Linked DNA regions of Lepisosteus oculatus. The protein of the gene in region 2 purifies or fractionates together with the protein of the main gene of each other region. This does not show direct contact. Links are inferred from orthologs where the notes say so. Each region holds a gene or a part of one and is shown on either strand. Other genes may lie near its edges.

Region 1 (7,478 bases), on a different chromosome or scaffold from region 2:
ATAAACGATCTTAGTTTTAAGAAAAATATGCTGTATTCTGATATTTCTTTTTAGCCATGAACATCACCAGGAAAAGCTGACAAACCCATACACCGATTTAAAAAAAAAAAATTATTTCAGAGTGGATCCATCTAATATTTAATTCTTACATCCCTGATAATTAACCAGCGGGCCGATTAGAAGAGAAGATTTTAACTTACTGGAGACATGTAATAGGGAGTTCCCACGAAGGTTTTGGCAAAGCTGGTATCATGATTTAATATTCTGGCCAAACCAAAATCTCCCAGCTTGACATTCTGCTTAGCATCAAGGAAGATGTTGGCTGGCTTGAGGTCCCGGTGTAGCACCGTGTGGCCCCCATCACTTCTTCTGTGGCACTCTTTCAGCGCCAGAGCCAGCTGGGTGAGCACCCGCAAGATGAACTCCTCATCCAGGTATCGCCTGCGAGGGAAGGAACATGGAGCACTCAGTTTTATTCGATGGAAAACCCTCTCATGCAATGCTGGTCTTCAAAGTATAAGGGCTACCTATAGCTGGCTAAGAGTGGAAAAGATCTAGCCAGCAGCCATATACACCACAGCTTTTATGAAAACAGATCCATTATTACACCCATGTCCAGCAATAGAAGAAAAGCATCATAAAGGACATTTAGGTCGGGTCTTCAAACAGCTTTCAGAGCCAGCACCACCAGCTTCAAAGTGATGGCAAATCTGTTTTACCTACTTAATAATGATTAGAAAACGGTTACATCCAAAATGCTTTATTAATGAATTGTGTAGAATATTTTATAGAGTACTAATAAACTCATGCACAACGGTAATACTCAGGATTCAAATTAGATAGCTCAAAGAACAGAACAAGAGCAGTCTGAATTACAGCCACACATCTATTCAAAACCAGAACAAAAGCCAGGAAAGCATGAACAGACTGGGAAAAACACCTGGCAGATTCAAGGCACATGGCAAAGCGGCTCCTGAACCAGTCCAGAGAAGAGCAATTTGATGCAGTCCCGGTTTAAGGTTATATCCTTCATTGACAGGCTAAACGAGGTGAACCTTTTCTGGTCTTGAACAAAGATGACTAATCAGGGGGGTCAAGAATTCAAAATCCTCAAAGGCACTGAGAAAATCAACACAGCAGAGTCCTTCAGAAACACAAACCAGAGGACAAGTGGAAACTTGTTGTTGAAACTATTTAAAGCCAAGAACAAAAGGGTGTGGGAGTGTGCAACAAGCTCCACAGCCACATTTTTGAAGTCGATTCCCTGGTTTCTTTCAAGAAGCGGCCGGATCAATTACCGACCAGCTCCTAAACGGGCTAAGTGGTCAAAAAGACAAAAGTAAGATAGGGGGTCAAGTGAACAAGAGATCACAACTGGAAACGTCCTGCATTTCATTCCAAGAACAAAAGCTACTCTACATAGAAGGCTGTGGGAGTATGGAACAGGCTATCCCACCAAGTTGTTAAAATACACTCTAGCTTCAGTCATGAAATAACTGGATGAGATCCTCAGAGCAATCAATAACTAGCTACCAAGTGGGCTTGATGGGCCAAATGGCCTACTCCATCTTAGGAACAAATGGCATTAAAGGTGTCGAGAAATCAAATGCTTGTTTATCTACACTACCATGCCATGAATATAAAAGCAAACTAACCTGAAAGAAAATAAGTGAGATGTTTAGAGGCTAGTTTGGCAAAGTCTCAGGCATATGTTTTATTCAGTAATGGTGTAGCTCCAGAGACCTCTTAGTTGTTTAAGCCTGGACCAATTAAAGGGGCCGTACAGTAATTATGCAGTTCCCTACCCCAAGGAAATAATGGGAAGGCTATGTATGATGTATGACCAGGGCATTAGACCCGTTTGGCATTGTTAGCGTTTGCTTTTTGTTTGCATGACTTATTTCTCCCTTGCATTGTGATCCAGCCATGAGTGAATATAACCGTCACTGACGTTTGCCTTCTTCCTAGCATTGCTGGACTCTGCAAAAAAAAAATCTTAATATCTTAACTTGTGGCTAAAGAGACGGACTGCTTTTAATTTCATTTACTTCCGAATACTCCCCAGTAATTCGAGTCTAGAAGTCGGAGTATTACTTAAACACCGGTAACTGGCAGGCACCCAAGAAAAGAGAATCAAGGGAGGTACACTCATACAGTGTACGTACGCACCTTTCTTTAATACACCTGGTGATGAGACTGGACAGATCCCCCCCCTCACAGTACTCCATGACGATATACAGCGTGGTGTTGCTCCTGTCGATGATGCGGTCGTAGTACCGAACGATATTGGGGTGCTTGAGCTCACGGAGGAGATTCACTTCGGACACCAGCATCTGCTTTTCGGCTTCAGTCATGGTGCCATAGTCCAGCTCCTTCCACACAAGTACCTGGGAGCGCAGCAGATAAAAGTACTACAAATACTGACGATACATGTTTTAACTGCACGGTAACGTCATCTTAAAATGAAAGCGCTTCTCTATGCACAATGATTGCATCACACACAACATCATAAAAGCGTGACGAGGAACAAAAATGCATATTGTTAATGTATTTTAAAAAGACGTTCCAAGATAGCGTTCGTATTTTGCATTATCCTTCATTTCAAAAGAACGAGTATGAAGTCGGTCATGTAATGCAACCAAACAACACAGTGAAGTAATGTATACCTTTCCATCTGTCTTTCGTCTTATTTTCTGACATTTTCCATAAGATCCAGATCCAATTGTGTATAAAACTTCATAATCTTCTACGCGAGACGGCATCTTTAAACGAACTTAAAACAGAAAGTAAATGTTAAATCCAGATTTTTGCAAGGACAATCTCTTCAAACAGCGGAAATCCCCCTTTCAAAGAAATACTGATAGGTGACTGCCAAATATTTGTTTTAGCAGCCTTCTTTGACAACTTTCTTTAAAAAAAAAAGAACATTCACATTTATCCTTTCGTTATTGACAAACAAAATAACGCGATCACCTAGGAGAGTAGGAAGTTCAAGCTTTAAAATTGGCGTGGTTTCGTTTCTCAGATGTGATTGGCTTTCCGCACGGAGGAGCGAAAATCTTATTGGTCAGAAAATCAATACAAACCCACACTGCACCAGGCGTTGCTATGCAACAGAAGCCCGCGAGAGAACAGCGGGTATTTAAAGGGATCTTTAAAGTAAAAGATTTTAGTTTATGCCGAACATAATACAGTACTTCAACATTTCTGGTCTTTGTATTAACTATTGTTTATGTTACGCTTCTCTGCCTTTTGGCTAAAATTAAGTGTAGCGTTTCTTTATTCTGGAAAAGGTCAATGAAAAGATAAGCTACGATTAATCGGTTCACAAATTTAAAAGAACTTCAGGAGACTATTGTCCTAGTTGTAGTTTGAGCTGCTCATTATGCAACTATCTTGAAATAATACTGAGTATATTAGCATTACGTCTGTGATTGAAATATTTTAGAATCCTGAAATTATTTATAGTCATTTTAAATTAATGGTTTGTATTTTGGTACGTGAAGTTATATGATTTGTTATTTGTTTATGCAGCGCTAGTAAACTGAATTATTATTCATTATAATATTACACATGTTGCGAGTGAAAAGCATTAGTGCAATCATGCTTATATGGGAGTGTGCAAACAAAGTTAATCAAAAATTTAAAAGGCTTCAACTATCTGGGTGGAAGCCTGTTCCAGACACTCGCAACTCTTTGTGTAAATGTGCTTTACTGTCTATCCGAAGTTCACTTTTACTTTCCAAATTGCAAACTTGTGTATTTGTGTCATTGATGAGTGAGAAATAGTTCCCCAGGCTGCCTCTTTTTAACAAAAAATAATAAATATAAAAAAACAGTTTTATTCCATGCTGAAAATCTATTTATACTACTTGAGGATTTAAAATACTCTTCTAAAATCTTCTTTTAATCCCTTTTATTCTATAGCGATGAGAACATTTGTTCTGTAGCTTTTTTGTGATCTCCTTCAACCTGTCTGTATACGACAGACATTTCAGGCCAAGAATCAATCTTATTGTCGTGATGTCCTTATTGTGATATGGTTGCCAAAACTGGAAACAATGTTCTAAACAAGATCTTACTAGTGTGCTGTAAAATCTGAAGCACGACTTTCCATGATTTAAACGTGCCATATTCCTAAGCATTCTGTTTCCTTTTTTATTGCTTCCCCACATTGTCAAGATGAAGACATGAAGGATATTAAACCCAGACATCTTTCTTGCATAGGTGCCTGTAGCTTAGAATCACCCATGTGATATATACCGTAGAATATGTTCCTTACTTCCTGTATAGATCACTTTACAAATATCAACATTAATCAAATGGTTGTGTGCAAGTTTCTTTTTAATTCCCTTGGTTCTGTTTCTGTGTCTGCTATTCCCCACTATTTTGTATAATTTTAAAATTTCACTTAGAAATGATTTAGGTGATGACATCACAATGTCAATCATTGATACAGTTCTGGCTAAGCAGTCTAGCACAGCAGGCCACAGCTTTCAGAAGTTATGTTCTTTGCAATGATGTCCTCTTTCCTGTTTGTTAACCCATTCTCAATCTGAGTATACAATACCTTTAATCCCTACAGCATCTTCATTTGTGAATTAACCTTTTAAAGCTGTTTTGAATACAAATATTTATGAATGTTATTTAAATATGTGGGTGTCTATGAACAGATTAGTAAATGTTTTATTTTTTTAAATTGTGAAGTATATTAATGGCAATATTCATCAATTTCCAACATCACCTTTTCACTGGCATGTTAGTACAGGTATTTGCACATAACCCCTCACCATAAATCTTTTTTTCATGATGGAAATAGATGTTTTATTGTAATACTGTATTTGTATTAATAGAATAATTTCCTCAACAATTATTTTGACACCTACTGTAACAAAGTCATATTGCATTCCCTAGCTGTGGTGGATAATTATAATCTAGTGTATTAATAGACTCATATTAGAGATTGTTTTGCATAATCTGTTTGGGAGTAATTTGCATGAACAATGGACTGGAATTCTAAGATAGTTCTGAACTGAAAAAGAAATAATTTCCCTCTCTTAATTTTATCTCAAGAATGCACATCATCATTGTTTACTCTGAAGTAAGAATCTTAGATATACTAAGAAGAAAATAAAGAACATACTTACCAAACACACTACATAGAGGCTAGATGAGCCAAACCAAACCTTTTATGTTCTAAAATGGAGACACTTTTGTATTATCAACATTTCAGCAAAAAATGTGTTTTCATTTTTAATTTCAAGTAAATAAAAAAATGTTTTTTTTTGCTTTCTTTGCTTTGCTGTGATTTTCTTGCATATCATTCCTTATAAATTAATGACCAAGGCTTCATCAAAATTGGTCCAATGAAAATACATTGCTGTTGTTAACTGTAGCCACTTTTAATCAGTTTCAGGAAACAAATGGTAAAAATCACTGTTAATGCAAGACAGCTAGGAGGGGCGTCTTATACACCAAACAGGCTGATTGGTTCATCCTTCAGAGGTGAGTCCTCTTATTCACATACAGTAGTTATAGGTGTGTCTAACAACACTCAAAATGAATGTGATGGTGCCTCATTTTCCCTTCTAGGCATAGGCTACATGTCTGCAGATCTGCACATGAAAGCCCTGAATACCCATATGAATGAAAGAAACCCCCCAAACAAGAGGCTGCCTTCATACCTGTGTTAAAAAAGATGTGTGTAGTGCAGCACAATCTCAAATATCTTTGCAGACTGTAGATAAAAGTTTTCTTTTTTTATATGCCACACCTCTGCCTCTCCCAATCTTTGAAAACTCAGTTTTGATTGTAAAACCAGGAAAACGCATTGCTAACATTGTTATCACAACTTTAGCTGGGGCATTAACAGTAATAGTAAATAACATAAAGGATCAACTGGGAATTGTGAATGTGAATTGTGTAGGATTGACAATTACAGTAAGGGAGTTCATTTTGAAGCCCAGACTCCTTTTTACTTTTTTTTTAACATGGGGTGTAAGGTGCACTAAAACGGGACAGACTTAACCTTGCAGTCTCCCAGCTCAGTCAGATCTTTTCGAGTTAAACACCTTTTCTTTGCAAATAATCAAAGCAACTGTGGGTGACGTGAAGAAGGCTCCAGAGCAAAAATGTTGTGTTTCTTTTCTTCTCTTTTCAGCCTGGAATAAACCTTTACTTGTTCCTTTGCAGCCTACGCATGCTGATGCAGCTATCTACTTGAACTATGGTTTTTGCCCATGGCTGCTTAAACAGGAATTCAAAAAGTGGAAAGTGAGTGAGATGATCTCAGAGTTCCACTGTAAATGTATATATCCATCCACTCACAATGAGCTCTTCATCGAATACAGAAGTCATTCCCAAACCTGAGCCTTGAGAAAGTGCTGTTTGTTATTCTAGCAGAGTTCTTAATTACAAGCTGATGGTTTTCAGCTGGATTTTCGGGCAGTATTTTTAAAACTTCTCTCAGATCCTTAAAAGGTGATTGGGACTTTTAATTATCACCCTTATACCAGTTTCTGTGATTCAGGGGTTTTTGGAACTTAAAGAAGCAAGCAGATCAATTAATGTTGTCAGTTAGTACTGGCAATTTAAGAGGTTGCCTCGACTAAAGTCAGCAAAGGTAATGGTCCCACATGGCCACCGCAAAACAGAGCTGTGTGGATCTCGAGCCAAACCCAGCAGCACAAGGCATAAAACACCACAGGCCACAGATAGTCTATGGCATGACGCACAGACTGGTCAGTCTAGACATGCCAATTAACCTTGACAGGTTGATGTCTAGGTTAATTCTTTGGATAGTGAGAGAAAATAAGAGCCTTTGGTCAAAAAATAAATGTAGTCAGGAATAAACCATACAAACACTACACAGAAGCCACCCAGGCCAGACTCAAACCTGAGATCCAACCATGTCTATATAGTACTGCTATAGCACCATGCTGCTAAAAAATGATTTGTACTGTTTAGTGGGTATTAAATCTCATTATACGTTCATTGGTGTAAGTTGTTTCTAAAACATATGCTTGAAAAAAAAACTTTCTGTCTTCATTGTTTAGTAATTCACTCACATGCTTCAAGACACGAAATCTGTGTTGTACTTGGACACCTCTGAAGCAGAAGTTCCAATTTTTTATGAAACCAAGAAATACCAAAAAATAATGACAAAAGGCCACACAGTTGTTTATTTGCTGTCACACAATACAATATTATGTCAACTTGACCCTTTTATTTGACTTCATTTTCATGATTTTTCTTTCTTTCTGTAACCACAAGGTGGCAGAACAAACATATTATGAAAATTGACTATACAGCAATGCTGGAGATCTCCATTCTTCGAGACTTGAAATCTTGCACTATTTTTTAATTTTTTTTAATGTTTGGTAAATATTTCTCTATGTGACAGTTGGCTTGCTGACTTGACATCAAATGAAGATTCCCTATGGATCTGCTCAGCTAATGGTGTCTATGACGTTGCCTCA
Region 2 (7,054 bases):
TACATTCTTTCCAAGCGGTACTTTCATACACTGCAGCTGAAATCTATAAGACCAAAGGAATGAAGGCTTTGCGGTGTTTTGGATAGGAGTCAAACTTGGCCAGATAGAACTGGTGGCACAGCACAGCCTCCAGCGCCTGGCAGCTGAGCACGTACAGGACCACCAGCCACCAGGTGGGGGCGCCGCCGCCGAGGGCCACGCAGTAGGAGACGTAGATGAGCAGCTCAGCGAAGTAGTGTGGGCAGGAGACGAGCCGGAACCAGTCGCCGTGAGGGACGCAGTGAGCCAGCGTGAGCACCTCCCCTGCCGCAGCCGGAGAGAGACAGCGCGTCGGGGTTAATGATCCGCATCGGGGGTGTGAGCACAAGGCCCAGCGCGACTGACGTCAGCAAGTTTAACAACCGCCTTAAAACTTGTAGGGGAAACTTACAGCAAAACAAACAATAGACATGAACGGAGCCAAACAGAAGTTCAGAACGTACGAGGTCACTGTATTATATTTTCACTCAGCAAAATGGATGATTATTGGACAGACGCTGTATGTACACCTACCACCAAAGTGTGTTTCTGTACGGTCAAGGATGAGGGCCCGGCCATCCATTCAGCCATTTTTTTTATAACCTCTTTCTCCAATACAGGGTGATGGGTGAGCCAGACCTTCCCCAGCAAGCAATGAGCACACCCCGGCCTAAAGAAGTGCCGGTCTAGGTGCTCCTGCATCAGACAAGCACCGTTCCATTGGTTTCAGATCTTCAGTTCCCCTTTTATGAACTGATTCAGGCGCTGGGCTCTAAGCCACATTTTCTTTTGGAGCAGGAAGTTGGGAAGCTTTAAGGCTGTGAAGAACAAATTGTTCATGGGATTGCGCCAGCTTTTCATATCTATCCTTGTCAAGCTAGGAAACGGGGAGTGTAGTCAAAACACTTGGACAACAATCTGAAAAAAAAAATGCGACTTGAAGAAGGATCAAGTGAGATTCTCGGCAGTGTGAATTACAAAGGTGCAGTTTGCCAAATAATTCCCCAGTCAAACCCGAGTGACCTGTCATGAGTGTAGCAACACCTGTGAGACCCCCGTGTAGCTCTCACCTGAGCGACCCTTCCTCAGGTTAGCGAGGATCACGTGACACCTGTGCTGGTGCACAGAGGCCCAGACAAACAAGCCCACCCCCGCAAAGTGGTTCCACCGCACCTGTGCCAGCACTCCACCTTTAACACTACCTGCCAAAACAATAAACAGCTGTTTTTAAATGCCAGAACTTTTTTCTCTTGAAATGTATAACTCTACCATGCTTTTATTTACAACTGGAAAGTTAACAAAGTATACTGCAAAGTATGCATTATGTCAGATTTTGCTTTGTTTCCTTTTTGATACTTGTGTCCTGATGATAGGTAACGAAATATTATTCCATCCTAGGTTGGTATTAGAAAATCCATGTTATTCTCTGACATTGGAGAAACAATCATTCACTGTTGCCTGCATTCAACATGACTGAGGAAAACCATGCAGACCAGTAAAATACACTGCACTTGTGAGGAAGAGGTGTTGTACACAAGGCACAACAGAAACACACAGCTGTAGGAGTTAAATACATATTAAAGACATTCAAAATCAGCAGTAACAGTATTTAATAATTACATGTTCTCAGGCCAGACTGACCTTCGTGTTCAGTGTGAATGTTGGTACAAAGCACTGTTAATCCAAGTAAAATGTAGTAACCAAGCCCAAATCCATACTGCGCTAAGTGTATGACTCCATTGGAGAACACACTGACAAACAAACACTCCAGGAGCCTTCGGAGGGAGTGAGCACACAAGAGCACCTGCACCAGGAGGAGAGAGAACTGCTCACCTGTGAATGGAGAACAAACAGGTGCACTGTAACAAAGCATTGAGATGTTTAACGAGGTTAAATATGAGCCTTTGGCTTCAATCGGACAAACATCCATAAAAATCGCCCAGCAGACAGAAATAAGGTGTTCTCTCTGGAGTGGCTACTGTTACCCTGAGCTCTCCAGGCCTCATAATTTACCCTGTCTGCATGCAGTTGTAATCTACCTTGTGAGAAAATAAAGTGCTAAAAACTAATAAGCTTGTTCTGGCACAGCTAGGTGAACAGCAAATCAATGCAATGGACGTCAGCGCATCACGATTTCCAACTAACTGGTAGAGAGATGGACAGATCCTCACACACTGGGGGTTCCCACCCTGGATCTGGGGAACCTACCCCTGCTAGTTGTCCTTTTAGTTGAGCAGTCAGTCACATAGCCAGATTCCTAAAGGGCCTAATAACAGGCGTGCTGTGAACATTTTAACTGTAGTTCCTCAACATGTTGGTGGCTGCCTTTAAACTGTCGCATTTCTTCTGATATAAATATGAAATAAAGCTGATCGTAATTAACAGCATAATAATTATTATTGCTGTTGGTATTATAAATGTTTGGCATTATTTAATAAGTCCAACATTTGCATTACAAAAGCTCAAATTGAAGTAATTGTTGGCTTCTAATTTAAGTAAAGAGCTGGGCTGGGATATGTTAGTGTTGATCCTTCAATGTTCTTTAGGTTAAGTATCCAGTGCAAGGCTACTTGATCATTTAGCAGAGAACCACCTGCCACTGCCCTTGACGATTCAGGAAACGTGTGTTCTTGTCTTGTGTTACACCTCCCAGCAGAGCAGCAGTGGCCTCATTCCTGCTTTTGATACAGCATGTGGGAACTTACCTGTCCCAGGTGTGGCTGTACCTCCATTGAGGAAACTCAGGGTGCTCTCTAACCAGCCTGGAAACTGCTTACCCAGCAGGGTCTTTTGTAAGCAAATAGTGAGTAATAAGGAATTCCAAATCACAGACACAGCGTAAAAATGGAAAAACCATCTGCAAAACACCCCCCAAACAACAATATTAACAATCTGACACGGTAAATAATAGTAATAATATATACAACAGTTAATATGCAGAATTATAAAGACTGTGTCATTGTCTTAAAGATGGAAACCAAGATAGTCCTGTTCGTATCACACGTGTTCGAGTTACAATACAGTGCAGTTACTTGGTGACTAATACACGCGTTGTATGAAGTAATAAGTTACATACAGCATGCCATTTATTATCCTCGAGAAAATGTAATAAAATATTATTTTCAGAACATCGTGTTTTCCATAAGGCAATTCTAACGTCAATCTAAATTTAATATCAACATAATCCGGCCGTTTCTAATCAGCTTCTGTTTTGAACGCACAGTTGAAACTTTACACACGATGTCTTTTCATTCATCATATGAACATCTTTCTCTAAGGGGGGAACAGCAGTCCACAGCTCTGATTAAAGTTTAATATGATTTATAATTTAAGCCCCGGCAGGGTAAGATGTCTCTGACCTTTTAGGAACATCAAAGTATCGCAGTAGGTCTGACCGCTGTAGGGTGGTCTTGGTTTTTCCGTACCGAATAAAATCCTGGAATAAAACATAAACCCAGGAGCCACCGTATTTATCAGACGAGTGAGCACAAACGTGAATACAAAAAGCAAAGAAAAAACAGAGAGACAGAAGTAACCATATACAATCAATAGGATTCATCCTAAACCACTGAAACCAAAGTTTCTTAGTGTCCGCGGGGGAAACAATTCCGACGTGCAATGCGTGTCTGTGCAGTAGGGGTTCCGCACCGCAAGGGTAAATACTTTTCAACACTTCTATAGCCCTCTGCTGGAGTCTCCACTCAAAGCGCTTCACGGGTAATGGGGATCCCCTCCACCACCACCGGTGTGCAGCCCCACCTGGATGATACGCCAGCAGCCAGGGTGCACCAGTACTCTCCTCACACACCAGCTCTCAGTGGGGAGAGCAGAGTGATGGAGCCAGTGCAGAGATGGGGATAATTAGGAGGCAAGGCCCAGGGATACAACCCCTACTTCTAATGGTATTTGTTTAAATCGGTCCCGTTAAACAATAATAATAAATCTCCAAAGTTCTGCCTGCCGGCTGAATAAGGCGTTTTGTCCCTTCTCGCTTGCCGTCCGCCCTGCGCTGGTGGCGATTGGTCGAGTACTGCTCGCTGGCCCCGCCTCCACTTGGTTGCAAATGGCGCCGCGCATGAACAGGCGCCGGAGGAGGATGTAGTGGGTTTGCCTGTTTCTTGGGAACTGGGCAAACGAGCTTTGTGCTTTGCTCGGGTAAAGAGAGAAGTAGGTATGTGCTGATGTTGTGTTCTATTTTGGAGGAGTTTGTCAAGTTTACTAGCAACCGCAGACTGCAATGCGTGTGCAGTGTTTTCCACAATCTCCAGTGTGCACTGCGAAGAGCGAGGTCATTTTGTGTTAAAATGAAAGCGGAAAAAAATAAAAATCCCAAATCGTATTTATTCTGAGAGATCATCATGCAGTGTTTCAGAAATGTATCGCTGTTAAATGTATCTCTCTTTTTTTTTTGTTCTAAAATTCAAGTGCTCACTACTTACAAGTCTTCTCAGGTTGGAAAATCGATGCCATAGCTGTATTTGAAGACTTACAAATACTGGAACTCCTCTGTCTAGACTAGAAATTCAGACTCATACCCCAGTATAGTGACATGGGAAACTGCTGCAGGAGGTGCTAGTCTTTGGATTAATCATAACTACCCAGTCGTTAAAGATCCCGTGACAATGTGAGAGTAGTCATGTTAACCCTGGTGCCCTAAATAAATTCCACTCCAGTCTTGAAAATTCCATGTTCCCTCAATTCCCCTTTTGATGTGATTGGTGCCGCGGTTTCTCACTCCTCCACCTGTGTGCTCCCTCGAACATGTGAAGCCCTTCAGGATGGGGAGCGCTGTGGGAGTGCAGGGAGTGACACAATAACATTATTGCTATTAAATACTTCTCAAGCTGTGGGAGCTGAGCTCTTTAACCTGCTCACAGGCCCCTGGGAGAAGCGTCTGTGTGTGTTTGTGTGACGGAATGGCGTCCCGTCCCGTGCCCATTACTGGTGGGAGCGTCTCCGGCTCCCCTGTGGCCCTGAATTGGGAGAAACGGTTGGGAAATTGATGGAAGCCGAGTCCAGTGGTCTCCTCCACTGTAAGCACACAGGAAGTGCTTCCTGCTTGTCGCTGTTTCCTGGTCCTCCTGGAAGCCCTTCTCATGTGCTGATCTTTTTCCCGGTTTGTCTGTTTTTTTGTCAGTGCCGAAGATGCCTGCGTTCCGACAAGTGGGGGAGAAGCAGCTGCCGAATGCCGTCCTTTTCATGGTCTGGTCCCCGAAGAGGGACCTGATCGCCCTCGCCAACCGAGCGGGCGAGGTAACAGCCCCAGGGCTTCGGGGCAGCTGGCCGCAGCCGGAGGGGCGCCGGTTACACGCCTGGCAGTCCTTGTGCTGAACTGGCGGATCAGAAGCTGATGCTCCGTGTCTCATGCATGCCTGTGCTGAGAATAAATTCGCTGTTCTGAGTGGCGGGTTTTCCCCGAGCGCGGCTGTCTGTCTGTCCACTGGCCCTGGAGAACATTTCTGTGTTTGAAAGTTAAATCGCCCCCAATGAATTAAAAAAAAAATAACACTCCTAAGAATAGTTCACGGCTCAAAAAAACAGCAGATTTCTGCTTTTGAGATGGTCACCCAGTAAATCGTCTGATCGTCTGTGGCTTTGTCTGCCCTCTGACTGGCATCGAAGCCTCCCTTTGTGTGCGTCTTGCGTCACGGCTGGGGAAGAAGCCTGTCTCTGTCTACTGCGATAGAGGCAGTCCTGCAGCAGACTGTAACTGTTGGGTTGCTGGTTGTAAATGAAGCTGTGTGTAAATTAAGATTTGAGGGTACAGGACAGAAAACAACAACTGGGGAATTCTAATCTCATAAAAGATGACGCGAGGAGTGTAGCTCTCGCTACGTGTATCAGCGACATTTACAAACCTCATTAATTTGTCTTAATTGGTTTCAATGTATTTTTTAATTTATTTTTAAGCTCCTATTACACCGCCTGGCGAACTTTCAGCGGGTGTGGAGTTTACCTCCCAATGAAAACACCGGCAAGAAAATCACGTCGCTCGCATGGAGACCGGATGGCAAAAGTAAGGGCAGGGAGACTTTTTAACAGGAGGGGGTCTGCTGCAGTGTCTGAAGAGCCCCAGCACAGCCTGGAGCCCCAGTTACTTTCTCCTGGGGACTTTATGCCATCTAGATAACATCTACAGCATCTAAGAAAAGTATATTTTACATTATTTGTCATCAAGAAATCGACATGACTTGGATTTCTTTTATTCCCTTTGCCCGTGCACTTCTTCATCAGTTGAGATGAAATTATAGCTTCTGTTGAGGGCATCTGTGTGATATGCATCCAGAAGGGTGGTTGATTATTCAAATTTGCAAAAAGAGCTCTAAAAATGTAGAAAACGATATTGCAATCGGGAGTGTGAAATAGCTAAAATGCAAGAACGTGATTGTGAAATAGACTAATCCAAAACCTGTTGTGCACTTTAATACTAGGAATAATCGCCTGTACTCAGAAGGATGTGGAGTACTTTAAGTGTGGCCTATCTCTTGTAATGCAGTTCATGTTCTCTGTTTTTTTTCCTTCGTTAGTTTTGGCTTTCAGTGTTGGGGATACTAAACAGGTGATTCTTTGCGATGTGGAAAAAGCAGAAATTCTGCACTCTTTCCCTGTGGAGCAGCCAGTGTCGTGTATGCACTGGATGGATGTTTCGGAGGACAACAGGTGTGTTTCCGTTATTGTCACAGGTGGAAAAAAAAATCTGAATTAGAAGAAATGGTCACTATGCGAATTTGCCTAGTCCACACCATTATTTTTTACATCAGATGCGGGCTAGACAGTGCTCACATTAAAAGATTCCTTCATGCTATTAGGCTGGTGTGCAGGTTACCCAGCTGCTTTCTTGCATTGGTAGTGACAAGTAACGTAACTTTTGTGAACATGGAGGTGGAGGTGACCCACGAACGGCCAAAAAGTTTAAATTGAAATGTACGAGCACCTGCTTTGTGGATATGGTAGAATAGCAGATCGCTTTTTATTGCAGTGTTTTCTCATCGTTTTATAATGAAGATGAATCGGATCTTTTCCTGCCAAAGTTACC
Region 3 (7,854 bases), on a different chromosome or scaffold from region 2:
TATAATTATCATTTCTAAATTTAAGAAAAAACAGTTTGAGAGGGAGCTCCCTGGTCATCAACACTGGCAGGAGATCAGCACCCTTTGAAACGATTCAAACAACATTTTTTTTTGGGGGGGGAGTTTTGGCATAGCCTAGGCAGAACTTTATTGCTTTCCCATGAGGACCCCCTCCCAGCATTTTCCAGCCAGGGCACAGAGAATTGTATGGATACTTGGGTCCGGTGTGTGTACATCGAGCCAGGCCTCTCACCTCATTGATCTCTCCGTCATCGGGAGACTCATTATAGTCATTCATCTCATCTATGTCCTGCATGTCCTCATCGTCTTCTGAGTCCTCCTCACTATCTTCCTCATCCTCATCATCCTCCTCATCCTCATCGTCATACGTCTGCAGAAAGAAACCATGCAACAGTGTCATAAAGCCATGCCTATACTTAAATCCGTTCCTCCTACCCATTACCCTCCAGTGGCATATTTATCTGTTTTCCTGCTGCCCGTGGTTGTTTTCATTCCAGTTATCAGATCTACAATATATGGCTACTGTTGTGATGTACAGCTTTTATGGCAGTGACTTCGTTAAGTACATTATTTGACACAGCCTACTGTATTATCATTGTGACAGAATTCACTAATCCTGACCTAATATGACAAATTAAAAACGATATTCATAAACAACTGCAATTCTTCCAACATGATCACTGATTAGAGCAGGCCTATACCAACAGTGTTTTCAGCATCAGAATCACATGCATTTAATCTCAAAATGTCATTAAATGACCTGCTATTTAAATTGGATAAGACAATTCTAAATTTCTGCCAAAATACATGCGATAGATAAAAGCATAAAATGAAGCTTTGATTTTTGAGATGTTAACATATTCCAATAACCGATTCACAAAGTCAAGCAAAAACACAACTATAGTTCAGAATTACTTGTTATATACTAAAACCATCACAGGTATTTTGCTGTTGTTTATCCTTAGTGGTACTTTCAAATGCCTATATGCAACTCCAAAAACATTTTAAGGTGGAAACACTAACATGTTCCCCGGTCTTAAATATGAGGATCAGATTGGCTCAACATCTGACCCTTCATGACATCTAGACTTGTAGAGAGCTCAACAGTTGAAATATTAAGTTTCTTCTTTTTACTTTTAAGTTTGTGATTAACCACATTTTCTCTGCAGCTCATAAACACTGACTCAAACATCTTATTTTCAAGCAAAGTATATTGCGGTACATACATCTTACCTCAGAAACAGGCTTCCCTATTGGCATCAGATTGTTATCTTTTTCAGCAATGCTTTGCAACTGCAGGAAGATACAATTTAATTAGAATTACACAGCAAAATATTTAAAAAAACCTCAAAAATCTTAAACTCGAATAAAGAAAACATATGCATCCCACCTAGAAAATAAAACCCATAACACATTATTTTGCAAATCACCTTGTTTGCTGGAGAGGATGGCAACTAACGTAATACGATAATATAATACAGTTAAAGGTTGAAACATTTTCATAACATTCAATGCAGGTGTAGGAACAAACAATTCAACAGAATTGACTAACAATAAAAGCGTACAAAAACCTTGCAATTGTCCAAAGGTTAACTTAACTTTATTGCCGTGTTTGTCTTTTGTTATATATAATGCATCCCCCCCCAGAGTGTACGACGTTGTGACTTTATATTTGTTATAAAAGTTTTAAAAGATGTTAAAAGACATGCCACGACAATAAAATGAAAAAGATGGGAGGAAATCAAGCTGTGTTTGTTCCTGTCGTCCTCTACACACCCAGGTCTGGTGTTGCTGCTCTTGTTGTTGAAGCTCATTTTCATCCACACAAGGTCGGTCCAGGTTAAACCATAGTGACTCGGTCATCCGGGGGAAAAGGGAAGGGAACAGCGTGGACATCCTACAGGAGTCAGTGAGAGTTTAAATCCTCTATTAAGAAAGAAAACACTAGTTCTCCTTCGTGATACCTTCATCGTGGGGTTTATTTTAAATGGACAATTAGCGATGATGCCCTTAAATATTCTTTAAAAATAATATTACACGTATATCCTTTAATTAGAAAGACAAAGACATATTCAGTACTGTTCTAGCATTTATAAACATAAACCATAATTCTAAATGCGTTTACTGTCATTAGTTATGTGGATAAACATCTTTACTATCGTCAGTTAGTATGATCCATCTTCATAAAACCTCAACAACACGAACATCACCTGCTGGTCTTAAATGCAGAAAGGACCACCAGAAATACAACAAAATACTCTGGAATATCAAAGCATTTTTACTTTGGCCTTGGTATGCATTTACGGCTGTGATCTTAACTGAATCACAACGTTTTCAGATTGCTCTTTAAACGTCCAAATGATTTACACAATTTCGAAACAACGCTAAGTCACAGATGTAATTACTCTCGTGGATGGATCAAATAGGAAAATAATTGGGAAACTTCCATACAGCACTGTCGCCAGCATTTTCTTTAAAAAACATTGGCTTAGTTTTAGAACAAACATCCGTAATTAATTTTACACTTTCCTTATCGGTGACATCAAAAACGGTTTATTTTAACTCTTTGTTAAGATGTAGAACCTTACCTCGGGAACAAATCAAGACGTTAGGATTTTTAAATTCGAACAAGAACTACAAGAGAACCGGAAATAGGTGTTCACGTTATGAACGTCCTCTCTCTCCGAGCTACTGTCGTAATAGTTCCATGTGACGCCTGCGTTCTCCAAAAATAAATTACTTTCACGTAATGTTGATTTGTTGATTAATGGACACATTGTCACAACACTGTGAAATAACATTTTTATAACCAAATTCAATGTAAAATGAATGCAAAACACAGCTCATAAAAAGTTTACTTAAATTACAGCAGTCAAGTAAAACGACTGTAAAGCCCTGTTCTATACAAATCGACGTAGACGTATGCTTCATAAGTCTATTTGATTGACTACGTTTGCCGTCAGATGTTATAATTCTGGTTAAGCCATGTCCTCAGTGTTATGCTGTATATTTCTGGTGTTACAGCTGAAGTGTAATGGTGACTCAGAGGATAGAGCCATTGGGTTTTCCTGTCGGGACTGTAATCTGATTGGCTACTCTACTGTTGTTATTTTAAAAAAAAACAGATGCCTCTCTCTATTCCGACTAAGCATTTAAGGGCTTGAGTGGTCCACATGTTATAGGACCGAAGGTGTTAAAAATTGGAAGCCAGTAGAATCTGTGTGGCATATTTTTTATAAAAAGGCAGATCTAATTTTATCGGATAAAATGCCCTATAAGCAGATACACAGTGACACTATTTGATACTGCAAAGCAGAGCTGAGAACTGTTTCTGTATTTTTTTCTGCTTCAAAGTATAAATCGCGCTGCGCTCTGCATATCCCTTAAATCTGACATCACGTCTTTTTTTGCTAAGTGCAATTGTTATAGCAGATATTTCTTTTTGATATGGAGTTTATTTCACACTTATGTCATAAAGTGTCCTTGTGAGAACCATAAAAATTTATCACATTCATGGCAATGTAACATGAAAGTCATTTGATAAAAGATGAGTGTGTCAACATAATGACAAAGGGAAGAATTTAAGCCTGTCTCCTCTCTTCTGACTTGAAAACAGCTACAGATGTGAAGTAAATACAGGGAAATTGCATGTTGTATTTCTTGTCACCCCCTGCTATACCAAAAAATTGAAATAATGTAGAGAAAAGTCTGAAGAGGACTGTGGGTTTGCAATGTTTACCAGAGAAAATAGTTGTTGTTTTTTTATCTCAGCTTTACTCAACACAGGACATTTTGCAAAGTCAATGAACAGAAATGAGCATTGGACATGAAGAATAACACACTTAAAACACGTTCTGTTGAACAATGGTGACTCAGTCAATTCCAGCACAGGGTAACACACCTGCATATCACCAAATATCACCAAAAATATCACCTGCAGCTCACAACTGCCAACCCACTGAAGCTAAGCAGGTGTGAGCCTGGTCAGTACCTGCTTCGGAGACCTCCTGGGAAAAACTAAGGTTGCTCCTGGAAGGTGCTCACCCTGTGGTCTGTGTGGGTCCTAGTTCCCCAGTATAATGATGGGGACACCATACTATTTTGTATAAAGGCACTGTCTTTTGGATGAGATGTAAGACTGAGGAACTGACTCTCAGTGGTATTTAAAAATCCCAAGGATTTTGTAGCCTTGGTCACTTGGCCAAATCGCCCCCTAGCCTTTACCAATCCTAATAACCCCCATCTATGAACTGGCTTCATTACTTTGTTCTCCTTCCCACTGATAGCTGGTGTGTGGTGGGTGTACTGATGCAAACAGTGGTTTAATAGAAGTGTACAGAACAGTGATATATAAGTGTAAGGAATTAAATTAGTGTGAAGTGGGACATGTATATATATTATCCAGCATCACAGTATCACCACTTAAGCACATTGTGAGAGGTGTTGATGGGGTCCGTTAATTTAGCCTCAAACAAAGGTTACACTAAGATGCCATAAAGCTGACTTGCTTTAGCAGCCCCAGTGGCTTAACGCTACATAATAAAAGACAGGAACAACACCCACAAACAGGACAAAGCAGACCAATGTCTGCTGCATATCAAAGGACAGAACCTAGAGCAAGACAGAGTAGAACAAGAGGTAATTACAAATCAAAGAACAGGACAAGCACTCAGATTGTGAAACAAACTTTCTTCTGACTGTATATGAGAGCTGGGATACCCTTGCAGTTTGTCTGTTCTGTGGGGCCGACCCGGCGCGCGTTGTTGGACTTATTGAGCTCAATAAAACTGAATCTGCACAAGACTGTGTCTTGCTCCTCTGATGAAGAATTCCCGCAACAAGAAATTAAAAGAATCATACATATAACACGGATTTACACACCAGAAGAGATCTGCAATGTTGAGAACAAACCAAAACCAAAATTCACCTTAAAAAGGTTTTTATGTTCACCTTAAGCCATGATTTCCCTTTCAGGAATATTGAAGATTAGCAAAATTGCCAACTAATTTACTCAAGGCACAGATAAGCTGTGAGACTTCAATTAAATAAGAATGGTGCAGAGAACTCTTGAATCATTTCATGTAGACCTAAGAATCCTGGGCCTTCAGTTCAAGTATTTTAAATCCTTGTGTTTTTATTTCAGAAGACAAACATTACAGAGGCAGACTCCAACTCCAATGTTACAATACGTTAAAATCCGAGTTAATACCCTCACCAAATAATTTGCTCACATTTTTTTAATTATGCGGTGAGATAATCACTTCTCACTTCACACTGATTTACCACTTCTCTCTGTCTGCTGACGAACACCCATAGCACAGCCTGAGCAGCTTCCCTAAATTTGCGCTTCTACATTTACCAGAAGAAAGTCTGATGTCTCTCGACTGAGGTAACTTCTTTTCAGCTGTAAAAGCAGCCTTATTCAACAGTACAATTTAAGAAGGGTTTGAGCACACAATAAAAATAATTTTGTCAACTACACAGATTAAATAAGCGCAAGTAAAAGTAATATATTAAAATATACAGAAAATGTAATGGATGAATCTTGTATATAAACTCTTCGACTTCAGAATGGTTACTGAGTTAATTGCTGCATTTAGTTATTTTTAGCTTTTTCTTACAACTAATGAGTAATCCATTGCCCTGCCTGGGTCACACTGTCTTGTTTATGTAATTGGCCATTCCTTTTTTATAATTAACCAAAGTACCAGCTGCCTTTAGATTTATGCATTGCAACGTTTAAAGTTTTTTGTTTAAGAAACTCAGTCCTCTGTTGTATGTCTCCTTCCACTGTAGGTTAGAACTTTTTTTTAATAAAAATATTAAACGTTGAGGGAGTTTTACTCACGGAGCAGTTGTTCATTCACTTCTGGGGAACGCTCTTTTTGTGATTAATGTTAGTAGAAATTTGTAGGAGTTTCATTTCTCTTTTATTAATTTTTTGACATTTTTCTACATTCACAAAACGTTGCATTATTCATCTCAAATGTCTTGTTTGTGAAAATAAATACTTTGTTCTTGTGCTTTTCAAAAAAATGTTTTCAAGAGCGAGTCTGATGTTTCATCAAAATCTTATTCTCAAGGCAAGTTTTATTTTGTTTTAGCCAAAGGAGGTGGAAGAATACTTTGTTGAATGAGAAAGCAGCCTGGAATCTCATTGTGAGCACACGGCTTCAAGGTAAAACTTTCACTCTGTGGAGAAGAGACCTTGCATACTTTTTCTAGTAAATTCTCAGACTTTGTCCTGTGATTGTGCAAAGTAATCATAAACTGTTATCTTCGCATTCCTAAATAGTACTAATGGAAATCAGGAACACAGACTTTCTCTCTGTTATTGCACCGTTTAGGGACTGTCCTCTACTGTCTGAAGCCAATCAGAAACCTTCCATTTGAGTTAAGCTATAGCCTGAGAACAGATATAAATTGTCCGTGGTGTGTAAAGTTTATTTAATCCAGAACATCAGAGGAGAGTGAAGCTTCGAAGGCGGTTCAGTTTTAATCCAGGATGTACTTAAGAAGGTCTTGATCATTTTATTTTCCTTATTTTTTTAAATAACATGTCAGTCTTTACTCTCACCAGGCCAAGTAGACTGAAAACAGAGAGTTAGTCTTTATTGTCTTATGACTTCATGGGGTTTTGTACTTTTCATATTTCATATGTATTCCATATGTAGCATTTCAATGCTTATATAGAACAGCACAGTATGGTATTTGAGATAATTATTAGGTTTTATTTGGTAATTATATTATTTCAGAAGCCAAAATTCAGACTGCAAAACGTGAAATAGAGTGTTACTGTTCTGAGCATATATGTAAAGTTTCCATAAATGTTACATATAAAAACTATATATAAAACATTTAATTTTTTGGAAATACGTTTGAAACTTGTGATCATGACTTAAAGGTACCTCACTGCAACTTTATCACAGTAGTTTTAATGGCATACTTGATTGCCTTACATTGAAAAGTCCCAGCCTCCCAACCAGACTTAAAAGTGAAGAGAGTTTAAACTAATCATCCATGTATTATTCATAATCTAAATAAGGAGTGTTGTGCCAAAGTGTTAAAATTATTTTGTTCATGTATTAGTTTATGAAATTAAATGTAAATATCTTATTGTACTGTATGCTATCTTATACTGTAGATTTCACATTATTCTCAAAGAATTCCAGAACTATATTTCTCAGATATACTGCAGTCTGGTATCACAATATTTACAGGGTGATTTTCAATGTTTGAGTTCCAGTATTTAATTTGTAACCTTTTTTTCTAATTCTGAAAGTTTTAAATTAGGAATTTCACATGGGAAAATGTGAAAATACGAAACAAAATTCACATACTGTAAATGCTTGCTTTCATTTATCTGTAGTGTAGTTTTGAAAAAAACAATTGGAATTTTGTCACTGTTAGGAAAGTGCTGTCGCTTTTGTACAGGAGTAAAAGTGTTTTAAGATTCGGCAGTGCAGAGAAGTCATGGATTCAAAATCTGAGTGAAGTACTGCTGTTGTCTTGTTCATATCACTTAAGAAAAATGCCAAGATATAGATGTCACTTTGGACAGCATCAGCCCACTTTGCTTAGCTGGGTGTGAGTTACTTTCTGTTGCCTGAAATTATAAATGAGAGAAGCTGGAGGAAAATCTTAGTTAAGTTTCATGGAGAACTTTTTCCTCCAAACATAATTTATCAGTTTTTTTTCCTTTAGAGAAATGCTGGGTGTGACCTTGCTGTTGGCCCTGGTTTCTGTGGCGGTGTCTGAGGATATTTTAAACAAGTGCATGGATGGCAAACATCATAAAAAAACTCCTGGAGCTGAGGGCAAACTTTTTCAGCA
Region 4 (7,138 bases), on a different chromosome or scaffold from region 2:
GGTTACGGAAAGCATTTAGACATGGGCGATCACGTTCCAGGTTTTTTTTTTTATTTCAGATGACATTTTCTTGCCCTGTTGCCGTTTTCTTCTCGGCCTCTTGTTGGGTTTGGCTACGATTATCTGACAGAGGCATTTATTATTGGGCTTCCTATAACCAGCTGGAAAGCCTTAACGCAAATGCTGCATGTTCCGTACGGCTTGGTGTAATTAATCGGCAAGAACTGTATATAGACTGTATACATGATTCCACCTCAATCTGTCATGTGCTTACCTCTTTCAGTTTTGAATGCGCTATTTTTTTCTATATCCTGAAACCTAATTAACAGATTTCGTGCAGCCGGGTAACAGTATCAAATCATTATTGTCGGTTAAGAACGGAGTCGCTGGCGTGATGAATATCATCTTATTTGACGTTAATGAGACATCTTAATTTTCACATGTCACTGATATTTTCCGTTGCTTTTGACTGACCATATTGGAAGAAGACTGTGCGCTGGGTTAACTAAACTTTAATTCACTTTGTGTCCTTCTCTAAAACCAACGTCTCAAGAGCGGAGGAGAGTGGCGGTCTGTGTGACTCTGGATTCAGAGAATCATTTTTCATGTCCGTTGCTAAAGGCCATCAGTAATGAAGTCAGATAAAGAAGAGAAGTTCTGAATTTCCAATCGACGACACAGCCCAGCAAAAAGGAAACGAGCATTTTATATAATATAACCAGTGCAAATTTAGAACTAGAACAATGTAGTCCTTTAACATACCGGTATGCTTGCTTTCACACTTAATTATTCTAGACCAAGGGATTATACATTAACGATGCGTGCAAAATGTAGAATTAGTGATAGCTTACCCCTCGCCTTCCGTTTCAGTATTTTGCATTTGCAAAATTTGTATGTACAACGGTACCTATTATTTTTTCTCGGAGGTATTCCATGTATGGCTCCTTCATCCAACGTTTCACAAAACGTGCGTAGTTTTTTTTACCTGATTTATCTTAACAACATACTTTCACCAGCGTGTAAAGAACCGTTCTGTTGATTCCTGGGACTTTTTCTTAAGGTTAGACTTCACAGAACTAACTCGCGTTAGTGCAAAAAACACTCCTCATTTTCCTTTCCAAACTGAGTCTACCACTTAAATTCCCTCAAGCATGTTTCGGCTATTTTTGAGCGAAAAACAAAATATTTCAGCATTTTACAATTAGCTTTGTGAGCCCCCTTGCTTGCAGCAAAATAAGAGAAAGTGTAAAACTTTAGTGTAGTGAAAACTAGAAACATTTTCGATTCCTCAAAGTCTTAATTTTTGAATAAATTGTAATGCTTTTAGATATTACATATTTACATATTTAGCACACAAATCTGTTCATTATTTGAACATGGGGGAGACATTTATTATTGTCATATCACTGTTAGGGTTGTAAATATTAAAAAGTGCTTCCAAACTTATTTCTTGTCTTTCCTGAAATGCACTTGATCTGACTGCCAAAATTTAAAAACAAGAGAACTATCGTCCTCAATCTATATGTTTGTTTTGGCTGACTTCAATTACGTTGGGCAGTGTAGCATAGTGGGTCTTTGGACCCCTGACTGCCAGGTTGTGGTATCGAGTCCTGGTGCTGGTGTACCTTGAATGAGGCACCGTACCCCAGTTGTTCCTGGCCACCCAGCTGTTCGGGGGAGACCAACATTGCTAAGGAGAGGTCCCTGCAGTGGACTGGTGTTTGTCACCTGCTCTCAGTCATCGATGAGCTCTGGGACCAATGAGCTGCTGTGTCTGAGGTTCAGACATCACAGCCCCTCTCCCCCACACCACCATGACATTAGCAAGGCTTGGCGGTGAGAGCAGGGAGGTTGCTGGTTTAGACTCTCAACCAGAGCTGTAGACGACCCATTATCAGATTTAATATGTGTCTGACTCACCACAGTTCATCCAACACGGTCGTGACAGTGATGACTTGTTTAATGAGCTCTGGAAAACAGGGACCAGATTTTCCCTCATGTCAGCAGTGTCAGAACCCTGCAGTGGTGGGACCTTTTGGTGAGTTAAAACAAACAGCGTGGGATAGGAAACACATAAATTGACTCATTACCTTTGTAATTCAGGATAATTATTTTCCTTAAACAGTGGTGGTATGGCATTACAAATACAGTTGCTATTAGTTGATACAGGCCAATATAAAACTTTTCACTCATGCTAATTTTAACAGTGTCTGCCATTCCTGACTGAAAGTTCTGGTTCTAACTGCAAGGCAATCCAGACCAGAACCAGTATTCTTCTTCCACCCTAATCATGGGGTCTTCCTCCAGCTTTCCGACCCTAAAGTGACATTCGCCTTCCTCCCTAGATGGCAGCAAGGAGCTGAGAAACACGTCAAATGTCAAGATGCTTTATTATTGCACATACGTCTTTTAATGAACACATTATTGCTCATTATTCCACATACGTCTTTTAAATGCAACGACATTTGGGTTGCTATAGAGTAAATTCTGCAATCTTTACACAGCAACTTGAAATTGTTCTCTTGTGATGAATATTCCAAGTCTACGTAGAGAGATTCAAAGGTAACAATTAGATGATTCATCTTTATTACAACATACAAACACAAAAATCTTAAACAAGGTACAAACACATTCTGTACAGGGGAGGGTGAAGATCCATTTGGTGTGCATAAATACCCCTTTTCTTTTTAAACGTTTCACGGCAATAAAACATGACAATATTCCACTTACTAAATTGTTCAAAACACATGTCTTTACAGATTGATTCTTTTTAAGGGTGACAAAGAACAGGAATGTTTAATCCTGGTCATGAAGGTCCATATTGATTTTTTGTTCCAACCAAGCTCTCAGTTACACAATTGATATCATAATGGCATTCATTTGAGCTATTTGACTGGTTTCAGACTGGTTCCAACATGATATGCTTCTGCATATCATGTTGGAACTGCTTTTTAACTATTCATATGTAGAATATGGATTCATATGAATCCATACTATTCATATGGATTTCATATGTAGCAGTACTAATTGATTGCATGAGTATAACACATGGCTATGGTCCAATCGAGCAATTTGTTAGTTCAACATAGTCTTCAGTTAAGTAATTAAGCTTGGCAGGGACCAGCAGGAGAGTGTGCCTTCAGGATAGGGCTTAAGACCTTCCCTCTCTCTCCCTCCTCTTTCAAGGACTGAAGCAGGGTTGTCCTCAATAGCACTGATGACTTTAAATTCTCATGTGCAACAGTGTGCTCATGTGGATTAGCTTGGCAATTCTATCCATCTAGCAACTGCATACTGCATGTGGTACGTTATATAATTACTTCATGCGTTTTAAGCTTGCATTCCGTCTTATCGAAAACAAGGTTTTCCATCTCTACTGTGTCAGTGCCTTGATTCATTGATACATAAACAAGTCTTGCAAGAAAATAATTATCTAGTCTATTGTTGGCAAAGAAATAAATATGGCCAATTAAAATTTGTATTAGGAAGCGATACAGTAATTACTACAAGTACAACAATGCAGATAAACTGTATTTGTACTACATGTATGTGCTTTTGAATCTAACAACCCTAATAATAAGTTTACCATGGCAATGTCTGCCAAAGTTGCTTTAGACAAAAACATGTGACACATTATTTAACTGAAAAGTGAGTGAATGCTGAGGATGTGAATAATACTGAGGCAAATAATAGTTCATATACTAAGGAACACTTTCCACTTCCGAACTAGCTGTAAGTTAAATCACTAGTTTATCACTGTATTTGCTCTGACAATCCTCACAGGACATTTATTGACCAGTAAGTTGCGCTTTGTTTAATTGGGAAGTCATTGTCGAGAAGGGATATTTCGAATGATGTTGATGCTTTCTCACGAGATCGATATCCCTTATTGCATGGTTTGTAAAGCTGTGGTGTTTTTGGATTCCACAGTTAAGCGGGTTTCTTATGAAAGTCTCTAGAAACGCCGCAAAACTATGAAATATTGCAAGCAAAGTCAAACATATATCATCTCCAATTACGCTTCTCAGACAGACAAACCCATCCCTGCATGAAATTACTTCCCTGTGTTGTCTACATACTGTAGGAGGAATATTCGGCTCGGCTGACGCCCGTCCGCGCTGTTGATTTTTCTGTGCCTTCTGATTGGTCAGAGCGATATGGCGGAGGCTCACGGGATATCAAGATGGCCGCGTCCATTTGAATCCCTGTGTTGTTATTCTTAGTTTTTTACGTCTGGTCTTTTTTCCCCACGGAATTCAGTGTTTGTTTTGTTTCAGTTTGTCAAAAACTGTCATCCTCTTATATTGAACGTAAATACATCAAGGGACTCCGAGATCCGGCGGTAGACGATTCGTTACTAACAGGTTTGTCCGTATCCCTTGTTTATTTCCTGGCACAGTTTAATAGCTATCCAACGTTCAGCTGTTTCCGAGAATGACGTTTTGCCCTCAACATTAAGGCAAAGTGCGTGCTTTTCTTGTTTTGCTTAAACTAGTCTTGCTTAATTAACACTGCTTAGATTGTGAATCTAGATGAAATGTTGACTAGTAACGTGCTACGACATGCCCACGTGTTCCCGTGTTCTAAAATATTGCTGCTGTCACTTATCCGTAGCCCTCGTTTATTATCTTTCTTCCACTATCTGGCTCCTAAAATATGTAGTCTGGGAAGTTGCTGGAATAGTAGGATGGAACAACACATGCATCCAGCCGCTGTTACTGCGGGTCACTTCTACATCACTGCGCTGACCATGTTGTTGTTGATATCATTGTTTATGCCTTTCACAATTTTGAGCAGTGCGCTATACTCAGAGTGCTTCACTCTTTTTTAATTAAGAAATCGGACAACAAACTCCTAGAAATCGCTCGTTTGCTTTAACCAAATGTAGAAAGCATTGATTGTTTTTCTGGAAAGCTCTTCCAAGATAGACATGACCTCAGTAAGTTCATCCCTACCCCAGGTTCTCTCTGACGGAAAGGAGGAGTTGCTTTTTCTTGTCAGCTGTTTAAAGTGCAGAGTGTTTTCTCACTTTGTAAAACCTAACTCTTAAACAGAACAGTATGGGCCACAAACATGAACAAACACCTACAAATAAAACGCTATAAGCAAATTACATCTTTTGTCAGATTATGTTGTTTTTGCTTTCTGCTCATTTTCCAGTTCCTGCAGCTTTTTTGGGGTAATTTTCTTTCAGATATGTTTTATATCCTGGGGGGTGGGGGAAACGGCTGGCTTTTATCCAGATCATGTTTACCTGTTGGCTTCCCCTGCAGAAATAATGCTGATATCTGGAACTCATGTCGAACGTCTATGAAGAGAGAGCCACAATGATAGCCGCAGGTGAATTGCAGGAGTTTGTTCCGTTCGGTCGCGAGCACTGTAAGAATCACCCCAACGCCGTGAACCTGCAGCTGCGACAGCTTCAGCCGGCCTCCGAGCTGTGGTGCTCCGATGGGGCAGCCGGGCTGGTGGGGTCTCTTCGGGAGGTAACGCTGCAGGAAAAGGAGAGGGTAATGTCTCGAATTTCCTTTTACTCGCCCCCTTTCGGATTTATTTCTGTCCTGCTGCATTTTGTGTGTTCTCTCATTTTCAACTCTTTTTTTTCCCCCACTCCCTGATTCTGTTCCCCACATTGCTTTGCTGGAAGTTTATTTCCAGGTATCCCCTGTCGATTTCAGGTGATGCATGTGGGTGTTTCTCTAACATTGTCGTGAAAAGCCATTTTGGTCAGGTTCTTACTTTTGGCTTGATAACGAGCATTTAATTGTGGCAGCTTGTGCTGCGTCATGGCATGTTAACTGTAACACTTGATTTATTCAGATGGATACAATATGCTTTATTGATAACATAAACATCCCAGGACAAAAGACTCTAATTGAGCTACATTATATCAATAATCAGTATCACTAATACTAGTAAGATGGTGTGGAGGAAGAGATGCCTGTTAAAATTAAACTTGCAAACTTTCATGGCTCAAATACAGCTGTGGTGGATTTAGTCAAAGTTTTCATCGTTATGGGTGTATTTTGTGAAATTGTTGGCGGTTCCTGGAATGCCAGTCATCATCATACCTGTGAAGAATGGGCTATGGATCATTCCCTTTCTGTTGTGCTCAGGAGAGCTGGCAGCTGAGGAAGGGAGCTGGTGGAGAGGTCCATGGGGTGGAGTTTGAAGAGGAGCTGTATGCGGCTGGGAACATGGTGATATGGAGCCGGGGGAGCAAGAATCAGGCTTCGTATGTATACAAGGCTTTCACCGTGGACAGTCCTGTCCTACAGGTACACATGACAAAGGAAATCCACTCCCTCCTATTGTTCTTAAGCCTCTACTTTACTCCCGTGGGTAAAGAAAATCAAATACATCATTCAGCCCCAGAATAGAGTTTTTCTCCTGTTTTTCGTGCAGTCTCATTAAGTCATTATTTTCAAACTGCTCTCGGTGATCCTTTTGTGACATGGCTAAAGCTCTTTGAACTGGTTATGAAAGTGTATTATGTTTGTGCTTATCGAGGTACATGGAATTTGAAATTGTTTAATGGTTTATTTCAGGCCTTGTGGTGTAATTTTGGTGTACCCGAGGAAGATAGAGAAGGTAATTTTGCTTTTTTTTTTCATTTATAGTTTAGACATTAAAACCCTGGGTCTTTACGTCGGTGTATCAGCTTTCATTGTGTTTGTTGGTTGTAAACATGCAGCACAGTATCAGGCTTCAGATATGACTGCGGATTAATATCCCAGATGAGCAGATGAAATCCTTTGTTTAATTATAAGGGTATGACATGTATGAAATATTAATCTGTGTCATCCAGGCATCTAGGCTTATGCAGCTCAGCCTATTGAAAAGGTTGCCTTTTGTGGCAGCCGAAAAGATTTGGTAGGTGCAATGAAGAATCGGACAAAATCGCACTCCTGGCCAAGAGACTAGATGATGCATAAATAAATTTTGCTTTCAGAACAAGAAGTCGTGGAGCAAACTGTTTGCGTTGTTCAGAGGACGTGTGTGAATGTTCACAGTATTACTGGGAAAGACTTCATCTCCCCTTTGCCCTTCCAGGTGAGTCACAGTTCTTTGGCAAAAGGATATCTGTTTTTTACATTTTTTATAGATTTCTTCTGATCTGTGCTTAGAGCAACAGGTG

What was found.
Region 1: the proteins of anapc4 (region 2) and nek2 purify together in Homo sapiens (affinity purification with mass spectrometry; 6 studies listed by BioGRID and IntAct, with this or other methods). This does not show direct contact. The link is inferred for Lepisosteus oculatus from reciprocal best matches to the Homo sapiens genes ANAPC4 and NEK2.
Region 3: the proteins of anapc4 (region 2) and anapc15 purify together in Homo sapiens (affinity purification with mass spectrometry; 10 studies listed by BioGRID and IntAct, with this or other methods). This does not show direct contact. The link is inferred for Lepisosteus oculatus from reciprocal best matches to the Homo sapiens genes ANAPC4 and ANAPC15.
Region 4: the proteins of anapc4 (region 2) and anapc1 purify together in Homo sapiens (co-purification; 13 studies listed by BioGRID and IntAct, with this or other methods). This does not show direct contact. The link is inferred for Lepisosteus oculatus from reciprocal best matches to the Homo sapiens genes ANAPC4 and ANAPC1.

What each region holds. Positions count from the first base shown.
Region 1 is NC_090697.1:46,236,962-46,244,439, reverse strand, and holds the start of nek2 (serine/threonine-protein kinase Nek2), read right to left. Parts: upstream 3,011-7,478; 5' UTR 2,763-3,010; coding exon 2,667-2,762; intron 2,656-2,666; exon of another isoform or gene 2,388-2,655; coding exon 2,170-2,387; intron 442-2,169; coding exon 201-441; intron 1-200. UniProt on the Homo sapiens protein: Protein kinase which is involved in the control of centrosome separation and bipolar spindle formation in mitotic cells and chromatin condensation in meiotic cells.
Region 2 is NC_090696.1:77,826,167-77,833,220, forward strand, and holds the start of anapc4 (anaphase-promoting complex subunit 4), read left to right. Parts: upstream 1-4,050; 5' UTR 4,051-4,184; coding exon 4,185-4,185; exon of another isoform or gene 4,186-4,189; intron 4,190-5,155; coding exon 5,156-5,271; intron 5,272-5,928; coding exon 5,929-6,034; intron 6,035-6,545; coding exon 6,546-6,678; intron 6,679-6,997; coding exon 6,998-7,054. Other genes in the region: srd5a3 (polyprenal reductase), read right to left, coding at 44-303, 1,089-1,220, 1,660-1,851, 2,724-2,875, 3,378-3,577. UniProt on the Homo sapiens protein: Component of the anaphase promoting complex/cyclosome (APC/C), a cell cycle-regulated E3 ubiquitin ligase that controls progression through mitosis and the G1 phase of the cell cycle.
Region 3 is NC_090700.1:12,717,182-12,725,035, reverse strand, and holds the start of anapc15 (anaphase-promoting complex subunit 15), read right to left. Parts: upstream 3,011-7,854; 5' UTR 2,610-3,010; intron 1,919-2,609; 5' UTR 1,918-1,918; coding exon 1,798-1,917; intron 1,315-1,797; coding exon 1,255-1,314; intron 392-1,254; coding exon 254-391; intron 1-253. Other genes in the region: folr (folate receptor), read left to right, coding at 6,527-6,540, 7,726-7,854. UniProt on the Homo sapiens protein: Component of the anaphase promoting complex/cyclosome (APC/C), a cell cycle-regulated E3 ubiquitin ligase that controls progression through mitosis and the G1 phase of the cell cycle.
Region 4 is NC_090712.1:2,594,014-2,601,151, forward strand, and holds the start of anapc1 (anaphase-promoting complex subunit 1), read left to right. Parts: upstream 1-4,127; 5' UTR 4,128-4,364; intron 4,365-5,273; 5' UTR 5,274-5,297; coding exon 5,298-5,510; intron 5,511-6,116; coding exon 6,117-6,278; intron 6,279-6,548; coding exon 6,549-6,591; intron 6,592-6,952; coding exon 6,953-7,053; intron 7,054-7,138. UniProt on the Homo sapiens protein: Component of the anaphase promoting complex/cyclosome (APC/C), a cell cycle-regulated E3 ubiquitin ligase that controls progression through mitosis and the G1 phase of the cell cycle.